2 linked regions of the Daphnia pulex genome follow. Each later gene encodes a partner of the first gene's protein in a complex. Links are inferred from orthologs where the notes say so. Each region holds a gene or a part of one and is shown on either strand. Other genes may lie near its edges.

What was found. Proteins that work in one complex are often made in the same cells at the same time.
Region 2: the proteins of serine/threonine-protein kinase fused-like (region 1) and suppressor of fused homolog are in contact, whole or in part, in a crystal structure (PDB 6LPH), measured with the Drosophila melanogaster proteins. The link is inferred for Daphnia pulex from reciprocal best matches to the Drosophila melanogaster genes fu and Su(fu). Residues at the interface, in NP_477499.1 of Drosophila melanogaster: Phe371, Val372, Ser373, Asn375, Ser376, Asn377, Met378, Ile379, Leu380, Asn381, His382, Met383, Asn384, Asn386, Phe387; in NP_536750.2 of Drosophila melanogaster: Leu18, Ile22, Pro33, Asn34, Pro35, Leu36, Gln37, Val38, Thr39, Thr40, Leu41, Leu42, Asp50, Tyr54, Met57, Arg127, Thr130, Trp131, Ala133, Asn134, Gln137.

What each region holds. Positions count from the first base shown.
Region 1 is NC_060025.1:6,990,024-6,998,036, forward strand, and holds serine/threonine-protein kinase fused-like, read right to left. Parts: upstream 5,216-8,013; 5' UTR 4,696-5,215; coding exon 4,585-4,695; intron 4,521-4,584; coding exon 4,407-4,520; intron 4,333-4,406; coding exon 4,010-4,332; intron 3,943-4,009; coding exon 3,701-3,942; intron 3,627-3,700; coding exon 3,524-3,626; intron 3,455-3,523; coding exon 3,329-3,454; intron 3,253-3,328; coding exon 2,973-3,252; intron 2,906-2,972; coding exon 2,523-2,905; intron 2,410-2,522; coding exon 2,300-2,409; intron 2,187-2,299; coding exon 2,004-2,186; intron 1,917-2,003; coding exon 1,832-1,916; intron 1,705-1,831; coding exon 1,611-1,704; intron 1,480-1,610; coding exon 1,423-1,479; 3' UTR 1,033-1,422; downstream 1-1,032. Other genes in the region: E3 ubiquitin-protein ligase lubel-like, read left to right, coding at 6,456-6,461, 6,641-6,806, 6,900-7,060, 7,126-7,272, 7,337-7,408, 7,477-7,594. UniProt on the Drosophila melanogaster protein: Probable serine/threonine-protein kinase; maternally required for correct patterning in the posterior part of each embryonic metamere. May be involved in control of cell division during metamorphosis and ovarian development. May interact with costal-2.
Region 2 is NC_060019.1:8,216,079-8,224,035, reverse strand, and holds suppressor of fused homolog, read right to left. Parts: upstream 5,278-7,957; 5' UTR 5,130-5,277; coding exon 4,912-5,129; intron 4,824-4,911; coding exon 4,731-4,823; intron 4,672-4,730; coding exon 4,258-4,671; intron 4,180-4,257; coding exon 4,091-4,179; intron 3,993-4,090; coding exon 3,698-3,992; intron 3,635-3,697; coding exon 3,427-3,634; intron 3,320-3,426; coding exon 3,248-3,319; 3' UTR 2,957-3,247; downstream 1-2,956. Other genes in the region: zinc finger and BTB domain-containing protein 4-like, read right to left, coding at 490-722; putative inorganic phosphate cotransporter, read left to right, coding at 5,669-5,774, 5,999-6,189, 6,562-6,795, 6,922-7,009, 7,073-7,296, 7,356-7,508, 7,583-7,715, 7,787-7,908.

The DNA.
Region 1 (8,013 bases):
AATCGCCTTAGATAAATTGACGGTGGTTGATGCGATAATTGGCCTTTCTTGTTTTCAAGTTCGCCAAATAACAAAAGCCAAACGACTTTTTGGGTTGTCAGGTGCTGTGCTGGCCAAAGTCGATGGTTGTCTTTCGACGGGTCTTTCGACGCCCAGAAGATTCTTCCGAGTTCTATTGACGAGAAGAGAGAAAAGAGATTGGGACCTGTACCGCACCTCGAAAGCGATAAGCTATCACGTTATTCTTCTTCTTCTCTCCTTTCTGTTGTTGTTTGTGTGCTTCACCATCTTGTGGGAGTGTTTCCATCTCTCCTATCAGCATTTATTTATATTTCTTCTTCTTCTTCTTCTTCTTGTCTGTGAGATATGCTATACCTTCCGCGCTTTCTTGTGCTGGTGCCGGGCCGATTCCTCAGCTTATTCTTTTTGGAATTGAGCCCACGATGCTGAGACTGCTGCTGGGCCTCGCCCGGCTCTTTCTCAATGGAGGTTGGAAAAACGAGCGCGCGCAAAAATAAGAGGCTCCTCTCTATAGCTAGCTGCCAAGAATCATTTTCACGATCGAACATCAGCAGTGAGCGGCGGACTCTGCCCCCCTCGCGGCTCTTTTGGCCGCATCGCCAATGAGGTGTTTGAGCTCGCACGTGCATACACACGGCCGGAGTCTGTCATCCATCGCCCGCCACAGACCCGAGCGCAAGTTGTGCAATATACCATCTCTTTCTCTCTCTTTTTTGATCGGCCCGAGAGAGTCTCCTATTTTATTTTCATGAATGAACATTTCCAAATAGCCTTGAGCACAATTGTGGGTGATCTCTCTCTCTCTCTCTCGTTCTCCTGTATATACGAGCGCGCCCCATTCACTTGCCGTAAATTCAATCACGTCGTTTTTTTCCTTCTTCTTCATTTTATTCAAGGATGGTCTTCCTGCAGTCTCCATTTTTGATAATATCTATAGTACCTGTTTGGATCTTTCTGCGTGCGCGCGTCCGGTTTTTGTTTTTTTCAATTATTATTATGCTGCTGGGCGAGTGCGATTCAAAAGATCAGATATATTTCACGAGATCAAACGGTAATGGGAAATGTCAAGCAATAGAAATGGCACTGACGATAATAGATCGAAAGATAGACCAAAGTAAAATAAAACAGGATTTGCTATTTGGGAGGAGTGAAAACGGAGGTGGTTCATTGTTTAGTCAACCGAAAAATCCGGCGTTGTCATGTAATGAGCCTTTTACGATTGTTGTGTTGTCGCCCCTCTTCCGATTGGAGGCAGAATGGAAAAAGCTTAGCAAAATGTGGCCATCCGTCATGGAGTTGGGACGGTGAAAATAAGTTGGTTTTGGCTATTTTTCTTTATAAGATTCTTTTTCGCGAGTTTTTCTATCGGCGGTTGGCCCACTTTGCATAGTGCTCGTCCATTCAGTTTCCGGCCCGGGTTTTATGGCCGCTCAGCAAACGATAGGCGAATGTGGCACTCTGTCGGGGAGAGAGAGAGAGAAAAAAGAGAAGGGGTTAAATCAGAGAAAAAGATAAGCGAAAAAGAATCGGCTATAGGCTAGGCCTTCGAAAGAAAAGATGTTGGATATCCCAAACTTGGGGGTACAGACCTGCCTGACCCGAGGATCGCTATCTGCTAGCAATTGCTCCACGCGCTCGACGACGACAGGCTGTCTGCTCAATTCCTTGAGCTTGTCAGTGCCCCTGGGCGAAACGAGGCGAGAAAGAAAACAAGAGAATAGGAACATCATTCACGCTGTTTGCTGCAGCTGACGTCATGGGAAAAAGCTGTTGTATTTTTATTGTATTTCTTTTTTTCTTTTTCTCTTACCTGAGAGACAGGTATCCTATGAGCGTACAACACCTGGACCTAATCATGGGGTTTCGATTCGACAACAAACGCACCAAATTTGTGTCTGTCATGTCGCACAAGGGTAGAAAGAGATGGTGAGATTAGCCGTTCATTTTCTTATTTTTCAAGGCAATTGTGTGAAATGTAATACCTCTTTGAGTGAGAATATCTTGGACGACGCTAACGTTCTCGGCTCGAGTGCGCAGGACGTGCGACAGGATGGCCAGAACGTGGCCGACTGCATGGGCTTTGCGACGATCGACAGACAACAGGTGATGAATGGCGGCCGCGCAATCCAGCACGCAAACAGCATCGCAGAATTGATTGATGAATTCTGTTGTGAATTCAATCGGGGGGAAAAAAAGGGAAGGAATAGAAAATTAAAATAATGATTAGCCACCCCCACTTTCGTTTCCAGTTACACAAGAGCTCGCGATGAGTGATTACCTGCGGTCGTACTCAGGTGCACCAGACGGGCCATCAAACCCAGCAGCATTTCTAAGGACTGCAGATCGTCGGCCGTCAATTCGGCGTCCGTCTTTTTACTGTCGATGCTCCTGTTTTTGGGCACAACCCAAAAAAAAAAGAAAAATAGAAAACGAAATGAAATCACATGGGAGAATGAGAAATGGAATTTAGACTGTGACAAATAAACAAAAAGAGGAGTTACCCGGTGCTACGGTTATCGCCAGATCTTCTCTGAACCATTACTTTGCAAGCGTACAAGAGATTGGGCACGACGCGGGTGTCTGCGTAGGCGCGGACGATTAATTCTTCGTCGACTGATTCCTCGCGGTCGATTCCAGCCCAAGGCAGGGCCAGCAGAGTCGCTATACGTTCGACTAGGCTCGGGCTGGCGTTGACGTTGCGTAACGGAGCCACCACAACGGCGACGAGATCCCTCTGCTCCAGCGTCTGCGGATTCTCTATGGCGTCGGCCAGCGTTCCGTCAAGAAACTCTTCCCATTCGTCGTTTTCCAGAGATTTCGACAGCAACGAACCGGCGGCGGCGGTTGCGGCGGCCGCAACTTCGCCAGTTGTCGTTTCCTTGGCCTAGAATGAATCAATCATCATTTGGTCAATCCTTTCTTCTATGATAGGACTGCACATCGATTTTTACCTCCGTTTTGGGCTCGATGGAAGGTGAAACAGTTTCTTCGACAGTCGGCTGGTTGTTTGGCGGGTTGGGCACGGCTGGCTGAATGAGGGAGAAATGATGAGCGTTGGTGCCAGGATCGAGGGGATCGAAATCGGCCACATTTTGTTTGGTCGGCCATCTGGTCGTTTCTAAAATTCTTTCCAGCAATTGCTGCCTCTCACTGATCCGTGGATCGATGGCAGGCGGTAAACGGTGGGTGTCGACGGCTGCACTTTGGCGACGCGTCCAGTCTCCAAATGCACTATTCGACCAAAATGATAAAGTTTTAAATTTAAAAAAAAACGCGACTTTTAGAAATTCTGTTTAAAGTGACGTACGGATTGTATTGGGTGCTGTGGAAGGCGGCGGCGGGATGGGCCAGCAATTGTTTGGGCTGAGAAACTGGAGCGCTATTTCGGCGTCGTTCGTACTCTTCTAATCTCTGAAGGGCTCGCGTGAAAACCCTTGTAAAAGAACAACCAATAAATTTCAGTTAAAGGATTGGATAAAATAATCAGCACGACAATGTTCACTTGTTTTTGAACGGCATCTTTTGGGAGAGATCTTGTCTTTGAATCTCTTTGGCCAGTTCCTGCGAAGCCGTCAAGGCAGTCGTTAAGGGAAGCTGAGGTCTCACTAGAGAGAAGGTAAAGAGGGAATCAGTGAAATTTGTTACCTTTACCAGAAAAGGAACATTGTATTGAACATACGTCTTTCAGGTGGGAGCAGAACTTTGTTCTCCAGGAAAGGATGCTCGAGCAAGTGAGGCCAAGTTAGCCTGCGGCGAGGATCTTTCTCCAAGAGACCTTGAAGGAGGTTGAAACAATCTGGGCTCAGATTTGTGGGCCAAGGCACGGTTTCGTAACGAATTTTTCGTATTAGTTGCAATAAAGATGTGGTGCAAAAGGGTGGCGATCCAAAAAGGAGCTCATACAAAATGCAACCTAAGGACCTGTTGTAAAAATGAAGGGTAAATCAACAAATCTTTGAAGAGACAATATCTGCAATAAAAAATGTACCATAAATCTGCATTATGATCGTATGGCTTTTCCTCTATGATTTCTGGGGCCATGTACAATGGAGTTCCTTTGACAGATGTTAGCACATAAGTGTTGAGGTCCATGGATCTTGCAAATCCAAAATCGCAAAGTTTAATGATGCCATCACTTGTCAGCAGTATATTCTGAGGTTTGATGTCACGGTGTAATATCCTGTCTGAATGAAGGTAGTAGAGAGCAGATAGCAACTGGCAAGCAACCATTCGCATTTTGTCTTCACAGAGTGTCCCATCTTCCAGTAGTTTGTACAAGTCACTTTCAACATACTCAGTGACAACAACTAGCTGGATGGAGAAATAAATCGTTAATAATCAACACACAAAACTACAACAAATAAATTGTGAAATTTCTTGATTACCTCTTTAAATGTCTCAAAGGCACCAAGCATGTGAACAATGTTTGGGTGACGCAAGCCTTTCTGGATTTCAAACTCGTGTCTCAAGCTTTGCAGCTCACATTCTGTCCTACCAATCTACAAACGCAAAGTATAGAATTTGTTACAATGAAATGGAAAGGAATTTATTTATAACACTTACTTTTGGAATAAACTTGAGAGCAACCAAACCTCTCAAGTGTCTATGTCTTGCTTTGTAAACTCTTCCAAAAGATCCTTCTCCAATTTTTTCTAATACCTCATAGTCTTCCATTTCAACGCACTTTCAACTCGGATTTATTAGATAATTTGAATGTTAAGAAACCACAATAAAGCAGTGTCACTTCTTTTACCGCTGTTAAGAAATGGATATAATTGTAGTGATCATTACGATTCTTGGATTTTAATCAGAAATGAATTGTCTATAAACAAAAGAAGCCATCTAGCGAAGCTTAGACTAACAATATTCCCATGTAAATATCTGGATCAGAGATGGCGCTGTATTTTCGAATAAGGCCAACTGGCAAGGTGATGAAAATGATTCCCGAGCCAGATAGACATGATTAAATCTGACGAAGTGGTGAACATATAACACAGGGATAACAATGATATATTTATAAGAAAATTCCATAAGAGTATAAATAACTAAACAAGCCAGTGCGCTGTGCACTGGACCAAAAAGTGCAAAAGCCGCGAAAAGCAGTAAAAGAGACAGTACGCACGCGGTATGCTACACGCCCTACGAAGGTGGAAGATATATGGGCGTGAAGAGAATTTAAAAAAAAAAAAAAAAAAAAAACACACAACAAAGACCGGTAAAACAACCGGAAATGAATGTGTTGAAAATTTACGTTATTCCCATCACCGAGATGGTACAAATCTATCGATTCCCTATTTTTTTAAAAAACATATTTTATTTAGCTACAAGAGTGTAAAGATAAGAGTAAACAAAGAATTAAATATAGAAGATGAATAATTCCGGTAGGTATTTAATCAAGATTAAACTTTTGAAATGCTTTGCATGGACAAATGAGGTGTAGCTAATGATTTGGATATCGTTGTTGATAAATATTTGGTAGCAGAATAGTCTCTGACGACGGAGGTGGCTTCCTATAACCGTGGCAATGACGCGCCGGCAGTCAGAGTTGGAAACCTTGAATGCCAAGCTATTTTTGACTTTCTTCCAGAGGAATATATAAAGTTTAAATCCGTGACGTCTGAGAGAAAGGCCAGCTGCATTCAAACACGGCACACACAATAAGCGCGAGTGTTGATTTTGTTCCTGCGAAACTACATCTCGAGAACTCGGATGGGTTTTTGATTCGGTAAATTGACAAGGAAGTATTCAGTTCATTCAACTCTAGGCAATTGAAATAGTTGCATGCTCAGGCAAAAAAACAAACTTGTTATTATTTACGATACGTTAATCTAGTAAAAACTTTATTTATTTTGTTTCATATTTTCTGATAGTTTACTGTAATCTACTGAACGATTACTAGCTATTATAGTACACCTCAGTTGATAAAACTTTTTTTTTTTTGTTTGCACGGGTGTTTACATGATGTTATTTACCATTAAAATCCCGTTGGCTACACCTTCCGAATGCCTTCCAATGAAGGCCAAATCTATTCATGCATGTCTAGATTGATTCTCACTGACGCGCTGGCGGTGTCTCACGGGGGAGAACTGCCCCGGTACAGGGAAGATACGACCAGCAGGACGAGCTCGACGATATTTTTGGGATTTTGCTTTTTGTCAGGGGGTGCCGTGTGAATCGCTGGCAGATTGCCGACAATTCCAGCGGCCCATTCCTATCCTGTTTGTCGCACTGCTTTGCTCTTTGGTGTCTATTCCGGCGGGGCGAACGGACATCATCATCGCACAGTGCGGCGTGCGGTCCGCCTTTTCCATCTCTCCGGGAGTTTATATACGATTTTTCAGTCGATTTTTGAGTGTGGGGATCGTTTTATCCGTTTCCGCAATTGGCTATCTCGTGTCGAATCTATCCCATGTCTCCTGTGAGTGTCAAATGAAATGAGGGTACGTCAACGCTATTATTTACTACTTCAGACCACCAGCATCAGTTATACTTTTGATTGCGATGCGAAACAACTAAACCAATTCTTTGCAATCAATTTTGTGTCAGTTTTTATGGGGGAAGTTGGTGTTGGTTAATTTTTTGAAATTAATTTTGTTTCTATGCTGTGGGAATTATTTAGCAAATTACGCCGGCTAGTTCCGAAAATAAATCTGCATCTGCTACCAACGACGCTGCATCTGCTGAACCACCTCCATTACCCACAACCCAACCACCGCCCTTGGAGGACGAATACGAAGACATAGAATACGGGACTGGGCATAAAGCTACGTTCTCAATTCGATTTGGTACAATTTATTTTTATTTTTGTATGCACAAAATGGTTAGCTCAAACGAAAAGCTATTAATCATCCACTTTGGTATTTTCCAACACGTTGTAGGTGGAAAAATGGAGCCGAGAAAAGGCGATGGACGTCACTGTGAACTTTGTGGATCCTCAAGTCCAAAAGTTCGGTGTGAGAAATGTCTCAACCAAATATTTTGCTTATCCTGCGATGACATGTATCATCGACACCCTAAAAGAATGAATCATTCTAGAAAAGTACTTCCATATTTTGAAAAATACCCTCAATGTTATAGATAACGAAAGAATTCGTCTTTTCACAGGCGCTGGATTGTATAGTCCCGACAGTTAGACCACCACTGCCACCCAAAAATGCCGATTCTTCAATTCCTCCACCACTACCCCCACCACGTAACAAAGGAAAGAAAGGCCCATTTTCTACCCCATTATTGAGCCGAAAAGATTTTTCGGTAAGTTGTTGCTTTTTACGTCAAAAACAATGTTGTTTTGCTTGACAACAATTTTGTTCCTTAGACATCGCGCTTAAATGTTTTTACGACTCCTCTGCTGGGCAGGAAAAGCGGAGGATCGAGTTCTCAAAATCAAGTATCATTTACATTTCTATATCTGTCAATAAGGTTATAATACTAATTGGGCCTTTTTACTTTTTTAAGCCGCCGCCGATGACACCCTCCACGCCTCGCAAGGAATCCTTCATGGAGAAAATGGGATCTCTCAAGCGATTCATGGGTTCTAGGCCTCTGCCCTCAGCCCCAGACAGCAAGCCACCAGGTTGTTGATTTAATTTGTCTCGATATGATGGAGAAATAATCAACATTAGATGGCCGGATTAGAGCAAACCAACGAGTACCGCAGTCAAGGCAACGTTGAATCGACCATATTTGACCAAAATTTGTTGTAATTTTTAACAAGTAAAATTTAAATTAAAAATCAAAAACATGATTTTTAGATTTTTTTGAAACATGTCTTTGATTTTTAATTTGAAATTTTGAAATTAAAAATAGAAAATGTTGGTTACAACTAAATGACGATGTAAACAAACTTCGGCCAAATATGGCCGATGAGACGTTGCCTTGGCTGCGGAATTTGTTGGAATGCAGCATGGTTTGCACTTTGCGGTTTGCTGATTTGCTCCAAGTTTCAATGGTTTGCTGTTTTGTTCTATAAGTCAAATTAATCGGAAAAATGTA
Region 2 (7,957 bases), on another chromosome or scaffold:
TGTGTCCTTAGGCCTAGTGTGTGTGTGTGAGGGGGGGGAGAAAAAGAAGAAGAAGAAGTGACCGTCACTCAGCCTCTTTGGCTCCACCCATCGTCGACTAGGGTCACCGCGGGAGATGTTCCCCCCAGTCCGATGGGAGGGTGGGGTGGTCCCTCCCTCTCGGTTGCGGTTGGCCGAAAGACGCAACTTAAAGAAGAAGAAGAAGAACTGTGGCGCCGCGCGCGCCTTCTTTTTCTAGTGTACCCACCCTGAATAAAGAAGGGGGATGGGGGCCTCCTCCCACAATCTATGGTCAAGGCGAAAACGTTCTTCTTTTGTTTTATTTTATTTTTCGGGGGAGAATACGACGACCCAACAACGATGAAACGACATTTTTATAACCAAAACAAACTTTCTACTTCTTTCTCCTGACTTGACATGATGAATAATCTTTTTTCTTTTCCCCCCCAACCAACCAAAGAAAATGGAGTACACACGAGGATAACATACCTGAGACGTTCCTCTGCCAGTCGGAGTAGAAAAGAGACGAAATCGACGTCGCCATTGTATCCGAGCCGAGTTTTGAGATCGGCCCAGTGGCGGGCGTTGTTCTTGCCGATGTAGATGGTGCGGGCGGGATCGGTCGAGGCCGGATACGGATACGGGTAACCACCTTTGGGCGGTCGACCCTTTCTCGGGCGCATAATCTGCCCATCGGGACCGATCGCTGCCGCTGCTGGCATTTTATTCACTCGGACCAGAACCAAATCGTCGATTGATTTTGGCTAATAATTAGTCCGCAGAAATCTCAAAATCCGAGAGAGGTAAGCACGTGCCCGATTTCACTTGACACTCACGCACATGGTACACACACCAGCATGTCGGGTGCACCTGCATCCACACACAAAAACACGTTTCTTGTAACCAGAAGAATTTGAAAAATAAAAAATAATTTTTCAAGGGTTTCACTGGCACACACGCTCTCACTGCGCTGGTTGTTGTTGTGTGTGTGTGGAAAAATAAAAATAACGTTTGGCGCCAATCGTAAAAATAGTTTGGGAGTAGGCGACGGCCGCGACCTCACCGCACGGAAAGCTTCAACTAGACTGAAGCTCCTCTAGCGGCACTACTCAGCAAAAGTCTAGTGTGTGAAAAAAGAACCTCCTTCTTTAGGGGGGGGGGGAGGAGGGGCTGAAAAAAAAATCGTCGTCTGTTAACTATCGATAGATATCGCTCACAAAAAGAAATGAAATAAAAAAATGTTTTGGAATAAAAAAGAATTGAAAAATAAATGAAACAAAAAAATTCCAGAATGGGGAAGCCAAAACACGATTAACACACACATGTTTAGTTTTGTTTTTGTTTTTAATTTTTTTTTATCATGTCAGATCTGTTTTTGGGTTATCATTTTCAATAAAAGATGACCTAAGAAATGTGGTGGACACCTGCCGAGTACATTTCCAGTTGTCGCTAAATTAATCTTAAAGTCAGCCAACGAAAAAGTTGCTCACCAGTTGGTCGTCTAAATTTACAATGGCAACAAGACACCTTCTTCTTCTTCTTAAAAGTCTTGCGTTTCGTCTATAACGCGGTTGTGTGTTCTCCCAAGGTTAAGTCTGGCCGACCCGGAGAGACGTGTACTACGTCGGAAAACGGCGAGAATGAGAGAATCGACGGTAAAAACAAGTGGATGGAGGAACGACCAGATGAAAATAAGGATGTCCTGCTGCTGCTGGCCAAAAGGGAGGAGGAGGACCGACCGACTCTACACGCATCTATTTTCAAAAAAAACGAAATGGCGTCGTCTTGTTTTTCTTTTTTTCCACCCGTCAAGTGCGTGTATATGTGCGTCTTTATAAGAGATGAGCGACATGTTTTTTTCTCTCACGACACACAACCCAATTTTCCCTTTTTTGATGGTATGTCCAACATTTTCCCGCGGGATTAAAAAATGCGAAAAACATAAAACAACTTTTTTCTTTTATTTTAAATAAGGAAATTCTTCTTTTCTTACGAGATGATTGGGTGAGAATCAAGTTCATTGTTGACTCTTAAAGTCTGAACGCGTAGAAGAAGAAAAAAAAGGTCGGAGGGGCCCCCGCGTGCCGCCCGCCCCAACCTCCCACTTTCTTTCCACCCCAACGGGAGGAGGTGGCCGCCCTCCTGCCGGGAGTCGGCCATGTTCTCTCCCCCCTCCCTTCTTTCTTTTTCTCTCAGCATCCGCTCTTTTTTCTTCTTCTTCTTCTTCTTCTTTTCCTTCTTCTTCTTCTTCTTCCTTCTTTTCGTTCTTGATAGGCTCTCCCCCTCCCCGTCTGCGTTAAGAGCACCAGGGTTCGTTCGTCTGTACGTGTGTGAGAATCAACTCCCCCTCCTCTTCTTTTTTTTCTCTTCCTTCATCATCGGCGCAGGGTCCAGGGAGACTGGCCCGCCAGTCCGATCGATGCCGTGAACCTTTTTTCTCTTCTTCTTCTTTCTACCCTCATCCGACTTTTTGGCCTTCGTGAAAAAAAAACACAAAATTCCCTTTTAGCTCAGCTGCTAAATGCAAACAACAATGAGTTTTGAAAAGAAATTGTTGTTGCATCACGCTGCTCATTTTCCCCTCCCGAAGGCCAAAAGATGAAAACTAACAAAATATACTCTGCGTCAAAAAAAAGAATTAAAAAAAAAAAGAGATGACCACTGCGCTTTTAATTACGCTTGAGAGGACCCGGCCGCCGCCACCTCCGGTCGCTTTTCCCTGCGTGAGCGGCCGTGTATCCAAAAAAAGCGTCCAACGACTAAAAGGCTGTGCTGGGAGAGGAGAACTTTTTCAAGGATTCGGCTGCTGCCCAGTCCTTTTTTGCACGACAGCCAAAGGCTTTTAAGAAAGAAATAGAAAAAGAGTGTAGACGAAATGAACACACAGATTCGACACCTCGTGTGTGTGTGTGCCTTTTTCTATAAATAGACAAGATTGGAAAAACGCATTTTTGGCAAGTTTTCAACGTCATTATAATTGCAGCAAACACGCAGCTTCCGTCAACATCCGCCCGAGATATTTCGTTTTGTTTTTTTCCAGAGAAAAGGAGATTCACGCAGGTCAGGTTCCATCCCACGCGCGAGCACGAGGAATAATAATAAAGGCACGTGGTTACAGTTTACAATTGTAAAAAAAGAAAAAGAATAGATAAAGAAAAGGGGTGGGAAAAAGAAGGAAAACAACATGAAAAAAAATAAAAGAAGAAAAAAAAGTTGAGAAAGACAAGACTTTTTTTTTATACAGTCGTCATAATTCATCGGGAACTACCGTCAACGCCATCTGTCGGTCGAACCAGCAAAACGTTTTGGGAACCACCACCTTTTTATAAAATAGGGGAGAGAGTAAAAAAAAATTGTTTTGATTATTACACACACAAAATTGGCAATGCATTCGAGATGAATTTCATCAAAAAGAAATATAATCACCCCATCGGGCTGCTGGAGGCAAGCCAAATCAGATTCTAGTTTGGCTAACCACTCGGAATCGACGAGGATCTGAAGCCAAGGACCTTTGGCTACGAGAGGAGCTGACGGTGAAGCCAATGCACCTCCCACTCTGCCCGTCAGGAGCGTCACCGCCGTTTCGCCGGCCACTGCTTTGAAGGTAAAATGCCGATCGTGTCGAAGTCGTCCCCTAATAATAAACAATTTAGAAAATAAGGAAAGACTGACAATGGAAATCAACTGGTAGGGTTACCGAAGAACGACGGGCAGGAGGGAAGCAGCTTCCAAGTTGAGCGTCAAATGGACACCCTTGTAGAGTCGTCGAATGGGCCAGATTTCGCCGTTGATGGTTGGTTCACCGTCGGCCGGTCGATGACGCCCGAGGGTCGCTCCAGCTTCCGGTTCATCTTCTTCGTCATCCTGACTACTAGAGTCGTCCTCAGCTTCCGGACTCCTCCAAGCCGAACCAGTTTTCGAAGTGACTTTTCTCTCCTCCCAGTGGCAGCGAGCGCTGACGCCCGACAACGAGCATCCGTCACGATCGATCCCTAAAAACATGGAAGCAGAATATACATCGGATTCTCTCTCTATAAATAAACTTTTACAAACGGCTCCTGTGAGGAGCGGCGCAACTTTTTCTCCTTACCATGTTCGACTTCGCGGCGGAAGGAGGGCTGCAATTCAAACAGCGATAACTGACGCTGCATGTCGGCAACAAGCCAAGGGCCTCCGGCACTGTGTAAAAATGGGCAAATCAATACAACTTTTTTTGTTGGCTATTCTCTAGAGTTATTGTGAAGCGGGGGATATTACGAGGGAACTCGTCGCAAAAGTTCCAACACGCTAGTTCCATTCCAGTGCTGGGAAACTTGCAACTCTTCCTCCGTAACGGCGACGACTTGCAGAAACTTGACGGAACCTAATGGCCCTTGGACTGGCGGTAACAAAAGATCCTCCGCCAGGAGCATGTGTTGCAAGCGACATTCAAAATCCGATCCGTCCAGAGGACAATGCCAGGAGACGTGGTCACCAGCGAAGAAAGAGTTACCAGTGTGGAAAACATACTTGGCAAGGGCCTGTAACAGAGCTGCTGGCCATGTGGGTGGTGTGGCTTCACCAGACTTTTTGGCTAGGCGGAAAGTCAGCTCAAAACCAAAACCACTGGGAAACTCTGGTCCTGAAGGCTCGTGAACTCTGCCATCACCGTGCAAGTCTGTCAGGCCAAAACTGATGTGAAACGAAATAATCAAGTCGTGCTTGGTAACAATTTAAGTGTCAATGTATACCTGATATAATGCCAATGTGGAGGGATGTGAAGTTCTGGGATTCCAGGATGATCATACATGCTTATATAGTCTAGAGGATCTGGACCACCAAGCCTGTAATTCATAATCAGGGTAAGTATTCGCAGCAATTGGGCACACTCCCAAGTGTTGATCGGACATCAGCAAGGTATCGAGTACTCACCAATATTTGATGAACGCTGTCACTTGCAATGGATTTGGTTGAAGAGGGTACACTTGTTTACATGATTCATACAATATTTCCAATCCCAATGCTGAAGAAGAAAGCATCAATTGTTGACCGTCATTGGGACCAGATTCGGGACCAAAGTTGCTGGCAACACTCGCCACATTTCCCGTTGCACACGTGTTTGCGACGACATGCATTTGTGCTTTCTGCATTGTTGTGTCTTTTATTATCACAATCTACTAATAAATAACAATAAATGTCAATCAACTAAACCAAAACTTCACTCCATTTCCAAACAATTGTGTATAGCAGAGGAATTTTTGTAACAATGCTTCGCCACCAGTTGATTTGGCAGCACTAGTTACTAATGTCATCGTTGATTTTTATCTTTTTAGTGAAATTAAAATTGAAATAAAGAAGACTATCAGGGCAGCCTTATTTTCATTTTTAGGGATAAATAAATTCTATAGTATTATTTACTATACAAATTATACTGACTTTTTAGCTAAGTGAAATTTATTTTTCATCATTCAATCAATAAGAGACATCTAGGAGTAGAGCCACAGGCTATTGCGACGTGTCATCGATCGGTCTGCTAATATTTTTATTTACATTCCAACTATACAAAAAATACCACCCACACGCACACAAAACCTACTCCCGTTCTCTCCTTGCACAATCACACCAATGGCTCATTTCTTTTAAAAGTTTAACATTACCAACCCTCCTTTATTAGTGCAATTTGTGAATAATGGTGCAGCAAACTAGTATCCCAGTAACAGAACAACACGAAGTAGACGAAAATGAAACAGTAAATGAAAAGTTGCGACTCGTTCCCCACGATGACGAAGACCAAGGTATAAAACTGTCGATATAGGAGCATCCTTTACCCGCATGTGCAGGGTTATGTTGTCCTGCATGTTGGTTTCCTTATCTACAAAGGAAACTTCAAGTGACTGCTTTGTTAACCACAGACAATGTTTCTAGGAGTTGTTTTACGAGTGTTTTAATACTTTTCAAACTTCTTGCATTCCTAGATAGAAAATATTACAAAAGAAATACATTTTTCTATTACTAACAGGATGCTGGGGGACTAGACATACCCTAGTCTTGCTAGGATTCTTGGGATTTGCCAATGTCTATGCCATGAGAGTGAATTTGTCCGTGACGATCGTAGCGATGGTCAATCAGAGCGCTATCCCACACATCAATCAAACCGCGGTGGATATCTGCCCAGAGACTCCAGGAGAGAGCCAATCCGGAATAGTAAAGGTAAATGACTCTAAAAAAAATGTCAAACATAATTGCAAAGTCACTAGGGGATCTAAGACTAGTCACCCTACTCGGCCCCTTGTACGCGATGCCCCTGGGTCTTTTCTTCTGAGATGATGGATTGGAAGCTTTCGCTAGACTTTGTTCATCCTTTTCCTGTCTCTCGTATTCTATCTCCCTCGTTCTCTCTGAGAGTTAATCCTGTCACGAGTCTTGGCTTTTTGTATATAGGCACGAAAATGGTCTGGAGCAAATGGCCGCGTGTCTGCAGTCTGGTGCACAGCTTAAGCCCGTCTATTTGTCATTCCCCGTCAAACATAATCCCATGCGAAACTAATGATCTTCAACATTTTTTCTTTTCTTTTTAAAAAGGACGGAGAGTTTGCCTGGGATGAATATAAACAAGGAATCATCCTGGGTTCCTTCTTCTGGGGCTACGTTTTAACGCAGATCCCTGGTGGGAGGTTGGCGGAGCTTTTTGGCGGCCGAAAATTACTTGGTTATGGCATCCTCAGTACTTCACTTTTCACTTTGTTGACGCCGTTCGCCGCTCGAGCAAGCGACACTTTGCTGATCTTCTGTCGAGTCTTGATGGGATTGGGAGAGGTATTACGATATTATTATAAAAAGGCGCTGCTAGTGCGCCACACTGGGAAACAGACATGGTGCCCTCCGCATGCCGAATAAATCCTTAAATCTAGCGAATAATTGACTGTTTCAACATCCATTAAGGGTGTGACGTTCCCGGCGATGTACGCAATGCTTGCCGAATGGGCTCCACCGTGGGAGAGAAGTAAAATGGCCGCTTTCGTTTTCACAGGTACGTTGGATTTTGTATAATGTTCATCGTGAAATTCTTTAAAGTTTATATTCTAATTTCTAGGCGCACAATTTGGGACTGTAATAACACTGCCTCTTTCGGGAATTCTTTGCGAGCACGGATTCGACGGCGGCTGGCCAACAGTGTTTTACGTATTCGGGACTTTGGGTATCGTCTGGTTCGCCGTTTGGATGCCCCTCACTGCTGATTCTCCATCTCGACATCTCAAAATATCCAAAGAGGAGAAAGATTACATTTGCAGTTCTTTGAAAGACTCCATTAAAAGGGTAATTCTTTATTAGTTTTAATCAAAAGTCGACTGGTTGATTTTTGTTCCTTAATATAGAAAAGTGCTCCCGTACCGTGGCGATGCATGTTTAGATCAAAAGCCTGCTGGGCTGTAGGGGCGGCCAATGTTGGTCACGCCTGGGGATTTTACACGCTGTTGACTGAACTACCGAGTTACATGGATAATATTTTACATTTTAACATGAAACAGGTACAAATAAAATTTGAAACAAGGCCAAGTGAAAAAGTCACTTAATCCGTTTGATATTTGAATGAATTTTACAGAATAGTTTCGTGTCCGCTCTTCCCTACTTGGCGATGTGGCTTTTCTCGCTCCTTTGCAGCACAGTCGCAGATATTCTCATTTCCAAACAAATATTTAGAGTTATTACTGTACGGAAGATATTTAATTCTATTGGTAACTATTTTTAAAAACGAGATGTTCAAGTTTAGTTGCGAGATTAATTTCAAATTTTGCAATTATAAAAGGCCAATACGGACCCGCGTTGGCTTTAATTGGTGCTGGATTTATTGGATGTGATACTGTAGCTGCCGTAATTTTACTTACTTTGGCAGTGGGACTTAGTGGTGCTTCTTATTCTGCTTTTCAAGTACATTCTAAAACAAATAATTCAGAAATAATTCAACTCATTAAACCCC